2 linked regions of the Macaca mulatta genome follow. The protein of the gene in region 2 purifies or fractionates together with the protein of the main gene of each other region. This does not show direct contact. Links are inferred from orthologs where the notes say so. Each region holds a gene or a part of one and is shown on either strand. Other genes may lie near its edges.

The links.
Region 1: the proteins of ATP6V1A (region 2) and ATP6V1F fractionate together in Homo sapiens (co-fractionation; 3 studies listed by BioGRID and IntAct, with this or other methods). This does not show direct contact. The link is inferred for Macaca mulatta from reciprocal best matches to the Homo sapiens genes ATP6V1A and ATP6V1F.

Annotation. Positions count from the first base shown.
Region 1 is NC_133408.1:168,496,796-168,501,112, forward strand, and holds the start of ATP6V1F (V-type proton ATPase subunit F), read left to right. Parts: upstream 1-1,489; 5' UTR 1,490-1,522; coding exon 1,523-1,680; intron 1,681-3,710; coding exon 3,711-3,794; intron 3,795-3,955; coding exon 3,956-4,157; 3' UTR 4,158-4,317. UniProt on the Homo sapiens protein: Subunit of the V1 complex of vacuolar(H+)-ATPase (V-ATPase), a multisubunit enzyme composed of a peripheral complex (V1) that hydrolyzes ATP and a membrane integral complex (V0) that translocates protons.
Region 2 is NC_133407.1:169,942,257-169,945,811, reverse strand, and holds part of ATP6V1A (V-type proton ATPase catalytic subunit A), read left to right. Parts: intron 1-1,162; coding exon 1,163-1,377; intron 1,378-1,635; coding exon 1,636-1,773; intron 1,774-3,555. UniProt on the Homo sapiens protein: Catalytic subunit of the V1 complex of vacuolar(H+)-ATPase (V-ATPase), a multisubunit enzyme composed of a peripheral complex (V1) that hydrolyzes ATP and a membrane integral complex (V0) that translocates protons.

The DNA of each region.
Region 1 (4,317 bases), on a different chromosome or scaffold from region 2:
TTTTTTGTACTTTTAGTGGAGACAGGATTTCACCATGTTGGCCAGACTGGTCTCAAACTCCTGACCTCAGGTGATCCATCTGCCTCGGCCTCCCAAAGTGCTGGGATTACAGGCGTGAGTCACCGTACCTGGCCTGCAGATCCCTTTTTTTTTTTTTTTTTTTTCAGACAGGGTCTCGTTCTGCTGCTCAGGCTCAAGTGCAGTGCCCTGATCATAGCTCACTGTAACCTTGAACTCCTGAGCAAGCCCTGCTGCCTCAGCCTCTCGAGTACCTGGAACTATAAGTGTGCGCCACCACACCTGGCTAATTTTTTTTTTTTTTTTTTTGAGACAGAGTCTCGCTCTGTCGCCCAGGTTGGAGTGCAATGGCACAATCTCGGCTCACTGCAGTCTCCACTTCCCAGGTTCAAGCAATTCTCCTGCCTCAGCCTCTCGAGTAGCTGGGACTACAGGTGCCCACAACCATGCCCAACTAATTTTTTGTATTTTTAATAGAGACAGGTTTTTGCCATGTTGGCCAGGCTGGTCTCAAACTCCTGACCTCAGGTGATCCACCTGCCTTGGCCTCCCAAAGTGCTGGGATTACAGGAGTGAGCCACCGCACCTGGCCTACCTGGCTAATTTTTAAAATTTTTTGCAGAGACAGGGTCTCACTGTGTTGCCCAGGCTGGTCTCCAACTCCTGAGCTCAAGCAATCCTCCTCCATCAGGGAAGCACTCCCAAAGTGCTGGGATTATAGGCGTGGCATGAGCCACCATGCCTGGCCTTACCAATTCTTTAACTTTCCTTGAAGGCCCTACGCTCTCTAGTCAGTACGCCTTTGCATATGCTCTTCCTCTGCCTAGAACACCGTCTTGTCCTCACTTCTATCCCCTTCATCCTGCAGGTCCTTCAGGTCTCAGCTTAGATCTGAAGCAAGTTTCTTGGGGAAGGGTTCTTTGGATGCCCCCTCTCTCCATGGGTTAGTTACCATGGATGTGTGCTTCCATATACTTTTCACATTCTAACCATTAACACACAGCTCTGTAGTCGCCTATTCCCTTGACTTTCCATCTCACTAGACAGTATCATCACTAACTTCTGCATTCCTTTAATTGAACAAATGCGTATTACTTGTTAAATATGTGTCATAGGTACACACATACACGATAAAGACCCAGACCCTGCCGATGAGATCAGTAACTGCGTCTCTTCTCTGGGATCTCGGCGTTTAAACAGCGCCAGGTTCAAATCGCTTGTTGAACGAATGAACCAAGGAAAGAGTCAATGAACGAATGAATGCCCGCGAAGGAGGTGGTGCCGCGCAGCCTTCTGGGAATCGTAGTCCCCTGCTTCGGGCCTGTCTTTATGGCGCAGGCGTATTCACATGGAGGCCGTGTTGCTGTTCATGCGCATGTCCCGGAATGCGGCTCGGAGAACTGCGCATGCCCGAAGGGGGGTGGGGCCGACGGGGAGCCGTACGGCGGAGGCGGGGCTTCGGCGGCTTTTGGTGCTCTCGGGTGAGCTCTGCCCGGCAGCGGGGATGGCGGGGAGGGGGAAGCTCATCGCAGTCATCGGAGACGAGGACACGGTGACTGGTTTCCTGCTGGGCGGCATAGGGGAGCTTAACAAGAACCGCCACCCCAATTTCCTGGTGGTGGAGAAGGATACAACAATCAATGAAATCGAAGACACTTTCCGGTACGGTAGCGCGCGAGGCCTGAACGGGCCCTTCTGCTGCCTGGTGGAGTGCGGGGCGAGGGTGGAGGCGGCCCGGGGACCGAGGCGTGAGGCCCGGACGGGGGTTAGGGGATGGTCGTGAAAGTCCGCCCGCCCGCCGCTGCGCCCCAAGTTCCCGTTTGGGGCTGGGTGGCACCGACGCTGTATCAGGTCCACGAGCTCCCCACCTCACATGATCGTGTGTCAGGAAAGAAGGGGAACAGAGCTCGTGACGGGCTAGGCAGTGGGCTCGGACTTTGTTCTGCTTTCCCCTCCTTTACAGGCTCACCGTCGTCCGGTAAGGCAGGGGTGATTTTGTCCTACTTACAGGTGAGAAAACTAAAGCTTGGAGAGGTTAAGGCACACACTAAAGTTACAAGTGGGCAGAGGCAGACCTGGAATTTGAACCTAATCCTAACCCTTTCTGCCTTTGGTAAGCCAGGTACACACTCTGTACAGCTCTCCTCAGTCGGCCTCGGAATTTCCCTTTGCTCTTGAGCACAGTAGGCAGAAAATGTCAGGACTGTGAGAGCCTTCTGCTAAGACCTTGCACTCAAGCCCTCACTCCCTGCCTTAGGTCAGAGTGTGGGCGCAGACATGCCTTTAATCCACCAGGGGTCCTGGTGACCTGAATTGAGGATAACAGCCTCCTATTCTATCCCTCACCCCTTCTTCAGGTTCGCTGTACTAAGTCTCAGGAATAAACCACTCACCTGTTTCCCCCCAAACAGTCCAGCCCAGGGCTGCCGGCTGAGACTGGTTCCTGCTGCCTGGTGTATTAGGTAGTTCCTGACCTGGTAGGCTGTTACCTGCCGATCTCTAAGCTGTCTGGTAAAGTGACCCAAGTTACCATGGGAGAAGGACAAATTTTACTTCAAGAATTTTTTATGTTTCCAATCAAAAGGGACCTCAGAGATCAAATCTAACCCAGTGACTGGTGGGGGGTGGGTGCTCAGTAAATAATTTTTAACCAGTAAATAAATGAATGAGTCTGGGCGCGGTGGCTCACGCCTGTGATCCCAACACTTCTGGAGGCCGAGGCGGGTGGATCACCTGAGTTCCACCCGCCAGGCTGGTTGGAGTTCGAAACCAGCCTGACCAATATGGTGAAACCCCATTTCTACTAAAAATACAAAAATTAGCCAGGCGTCGTGGAGGGTGCCTGTAATCCCAGCAAATCAGGAGGCTGAAGAAGGAGAACTGCTTGAACCTGGGAGGCGGAAGTTGCAGTGAGCCGAGATCCGCCGCTGCACTCCAGCCTGGGTGACAGAGGGAGACCCTGTCTCAAAAAAATAAAATAAACGAATGAATGGGTGGGTGATCATAGGAGAGGAGGATCACGAGGCCAGGTTCTTTTTGGGCAGAAAGTATGATTCCTTCATCAGAGTGTCCTCTTCCTAGCTTGTGATCTTGGTTCATGCCAGACTTTCCCTCTGACCCCTCCACCACCCTCATCAGCATAGACCTTGAGGCCTTCAGTGGTCTCATCAGCCCTATTTTTAAATTAATTTGTTTTCTTTCTAAAAGTTAATGTGTCCTTTTTTTTTTTTTTTTTCTGAGACAGGGTCTCACTCCTGTCACCCAGGCTGGAGTGCAGTGGCGTGATCACAGCTCACTGTGGCCTCGACTTCCCAGGCTCAAGTGATTCTCCCACCTCAGCCTCCCAAGTAGCTGGGACTACAGTTTCCCAAGCAGCTGGTACATGCTGCCACATCGAGCCAATTTTTTGTATATATGTACACATTTTTTTTTCTTTTTTTTTGTAGAGATGGGAGTCTCACTATGTGGCCCATTCTGGTCTCAAACTGCAGGGTTCAAGCGATCCACCCGCCTCGGCTTCCCAAAGTGCTGGGATTACAGGCATGAGCCATTGCACCCGGCCTTCAGTATCTGCACATAAAAAAGGATCTGTATACATATAATCTTATCCTTCCCCTTTCTGACACCATCACTGCATATTGACATAGGGTTGACACCATCACTGCAGTGTGCACCCTAATTTTCATTACCAGTTCACTTGGAAGCGTTTCAGGCAGCGTTGCAGAAGCCAACCCTAGTCAGCATGACCCTCCGCTTTGGGATGAAATTGATTCTTGGTAGAGTTGACATAGGGTTGAGCGTGGCCGCCTTTCTCCTTGTCCTCTGTGCCCTCTGGGTCACACTCATTCTCCTCCACTGCCCAGCCCAACAACTTGGAGGCAGGAGAGAAGGCAGCCCCCAGAGCTGCCCTAGACTCCCGTCTCATCTCTCCCCACAGGCAGTTTCTAAACCGGGATGACATTGGCATCATCCTCATCAACCAGTACATCGCAGAGATGGTGCGGCATGCCCTGGACGCCCACCAGCACTCCATCCCCGCTGTCCTGGAGATCCCCTCCAAGGAGCACCCATATGACGCCGCCAAGGACTCCATTCTGCGCAGGGCCAGGGGCATGTTCACTGCTGAAGACCTGCGCTAGGGGACTCCTCACAGCCCTCAGCCCTTCCCTCGTTTCCAGGCCTCTCCCCAGGCTTGCCATCAGCCTTCTTTACTTTTTGAGCCTCTGATTTCCAATTCCCTGCCCATTCCCACTCCATTAAGAGGCTAGGTGAGGCACTTCTAGGTTGCTGGGGCTCTGC
Region 2 (3,555 bases):
ATTTTCATAATCAAAATTGGAAATGAAAATACATAGTTTAGAGATATTTCTAGAGGAATTCATGATAACTCTGGTTCTTTTTTTTACAGCCATATAATAATTCCATCATATAAATGTACGATTATTTACTTAATATCTTAATGATAGAAGTTTTGGTTTCTAGTCTTTGGTTGTTATAAACAGTGCTACAGTGTAAGTATAGTAAGAATTCACAGAAGTTGGATTCCTAGGTCAAGACTTACCCATTTTGAATTTTGATAAATATTGCTAAATTGCTCTCAGGAAAAGTTGTACTGATTTTACTCCTGTCAACAAATGTGTGAGAATAAAGTGGACTCATTATGCTTATTTATATGTTTTATTCTTATTTGTATGTTTTCAAAATAACTTTATTTTTAAGATTTTAGGTTTTGTCCCAGTACTAATACCCTTATCAGGGGACTGATTCCTTAGCCGTATATGTGAAGCAATGTATTAACGAGAGGGTTTTGCTTCTATTTTTAGCCCTGTGGTTTCCAAACTTTGCAGAGGCATTCTGAGAAGCTGCAGCAAACTCATGTGGTGCCAGGATATTTAAAATTTTTGAGGCAAACACAGGAATGTTAGACATATTGTCAGACACCACATGAACTAGTAGCTTGAGATAATAAACAGTTTCATTATGTTGCTGTACTATATTTTTGTCAGTGATATCATATCTTTGCAAAGCTGAGTTTTTGGCAGTTGCTAAGCTACAAAAGCAAGTATAATGTGAAAATCAAAATGGAACAGGTTTCCAATCTGATTCCAAGATTGGAAAATTATATAGTTCCCCAAGGGCATATACATTCATAAGAATTATGGATATTTAGAACTGAAATTAATATTCTTTTTTTTTCAACTTATGCATATATTTTTCTCAAATTGCTACTCAGTTGTTAGTACATATATACATATTAGGTTATTTAGACATAACTATTTAATAAATGCAAGTGTTAGATATATCTTTTGTCCTGGGACACTGAAAAAAATTACTGAAAACACTACAAATCCTGTGAACTGAGAAAGTTTGGGAACTTCTGTTTTCACTTCTTGAGTGGCATTTCCTTGTTAAACTGTGGTATTTCCTGTTAATAGTGTCTTTAAACCTTCATAATAGGTTTTCCTTAGCTGCTGTTTTTAGCTGGTGTTTCTGTTGGAGATCCTGTACTTCGCACTGGTAAACCCCTCTCTGTAGAGCTTGGTCCTGGCATTATGGGAGCCATTTTTGATGGTATTCAAAGACCTTTGTCGGATATCAGCAGTCAGACCCAAAGCATCTACATCCCCAGAGGAGTAAATGTGTCTGCTCTTAGCAGAGATATCAAATGGGACTTTACACCTTGCAAAAACCTACGGGTATGTCTGTGTAACCAAGAATTTCTGAAGTTCTTGAAAGAATATAAAATGAATGTTTAGTAAACTACATTGTACTGTTAGTCCAAGTAAAAATAGACTACAGAAGCATAGTTTAAATTTTTTCTTAACTCTACTTTGTGGGATTTTAGAACTAATGTTTTATTGATAAGTCAGGTAAATGATTTAAATTATAGCAGCAGGGGCAAGTCTACTTGACATTTATTTGAAAATTAAACAGCAAATACATTTATCCTCTAGGTTGGTAGTCATATCACTGGCGGAGACATTTATGGAATTGTCAATGAGAACTCGCTTATCAAACACAAAATCATGTTACCCCCACGAAACAGAGGAACTGTAACTTATATTGCTCCACCTGGGAATTATGATACCTCTGTAAGTATCATTTGAACTTTATCCTGCAGAGTGGCTCTATTTTTATTATTTATTTTATTTTATTTTATTTTATTTTATTTTTTTTGAGACAGAGTCTTGCTCTGTCGCCCAGGCTGGGGTGCAGTGGCCGGATCTCAGCTCACTGCAAGCTCCGCCTCCCGGGTTTAGACCATTCTCCTGCCTCAGCCTCCCGAGTAGCTGGGACTACAGGCGCCCGCCACCTCGCCCGGCTAGTTTTTTGTATTTTTTAGTAGAGACGGGGTTTCACCGTGTTAGCCAGGATGGTCTCGATCTCCTGACCTCGTGATCCGCCCGTCTCGGCCTCCCAAAGTGCTGGGATTACAGGCTTGAGCCACCGCACCCGGCCTGTGGCTCTATTTTTATATGACAGCTGCCCAGTTTTAGTGCCCTAAGTAATTAAACAATTGATATTTAATATGTAAGTTTTGAGTAACTCCTATAATTTTTGAAGGTTTTTTTGTTTGTTTTTAACTTGGATTCAGGGATAAAAAAGCAGAACATAGTATTTCTTTTTAAAGAAATGTAACAGTTTTCTACCATCTTAACTGATGCTACATTTATTTAAAGCCCTAATTGTTTAGGCATAGAATAGACTTTGATTTTAATGGTGTATTAATATTCACATAATAATTATGTAATAGGACTGGGCGCGTAGTCTCACACCTGTAATCCCTGCACTTTGAGAGGGCGAGGCGGGCAGATCACAAGGTCAGGAGATCAAGACCACCCTGACCAATATGGTGAAACCCCGTCTCTACTAAAAATACAAAAATTAGCCAGGCGTGGTGGCGGACGCCTGTAATCCCAGCTACTCAGGAGGCTGAGGCAGGAAATTCGCTTGAACCTGGGAGGCAGAGGTTGTAGTGAGCTGAGATTGCACCATTGCACTCCAACCTGGGCAACAGAGCAAGACTCTATCTAAAAAAATAATAATAATATAATTGTTATATAATTATTATTATATATTATTATGTAATTATTATTATTATATAATCATATATATTATATAAGATTATTTGAATTATCTTTTTTCTTTTTCTTTTTTTTTTGAGACAGTGTCTTGCTGTGTTGCCCAGACTGGAGTGCAGTGGTGCAATCATAGCTCACTGCAGCCTCAACCTGCTGGGCTCAAGCAATTCTATCACCTCAGCCTCCCAAGTATCTGGGACCACAGGCACATGCCACCATGCCCGGTTAATTTTTTTTTTTTTTTTTTTTTGAGATGGACTCTTGCTCTGTCACTCTGTCACCAGGCTGGAGTACAGTGGGGTGATCTCTGCTCACTGTATCCTCCGCCTCTTGGGTTCAAGCGATTCTCCTACCTCAGCTTTCCAAGTAGGTGGGATTACAGGTGTCTGCCACCACACTCGGCTAATTTTTGTTTTTTTAGTAGAGATGGGGTTTCATCATGTTGGCCAGGATGGTCTTGATCTCCTGACCTCGTGATCTGCCCACCTCAGTCTCCCAAATTGCTGAGATTACAGGCGTGAGCCACCGTGCCCAGCCTAATTTAAAAAAATTTTTTTTAGGGACAGGATCTCATTCTGTTGCCCAGGCTGGTCTTGAACTTCTGTACTCAAGTGATCCTCCTGCCTTGGCCTCCCAAAAGTGCTGGGATCACAGGCGTAAGCTGTAATCCATGCCTGGCACTGGATTAAAACTTAGACCTTTAATGTTATTTACAGTCACATAATACACATTAGGCTCGTAATCTTTATGGGTATGAAGATAACTTTATTGAAAAGACTATCATAGCATATA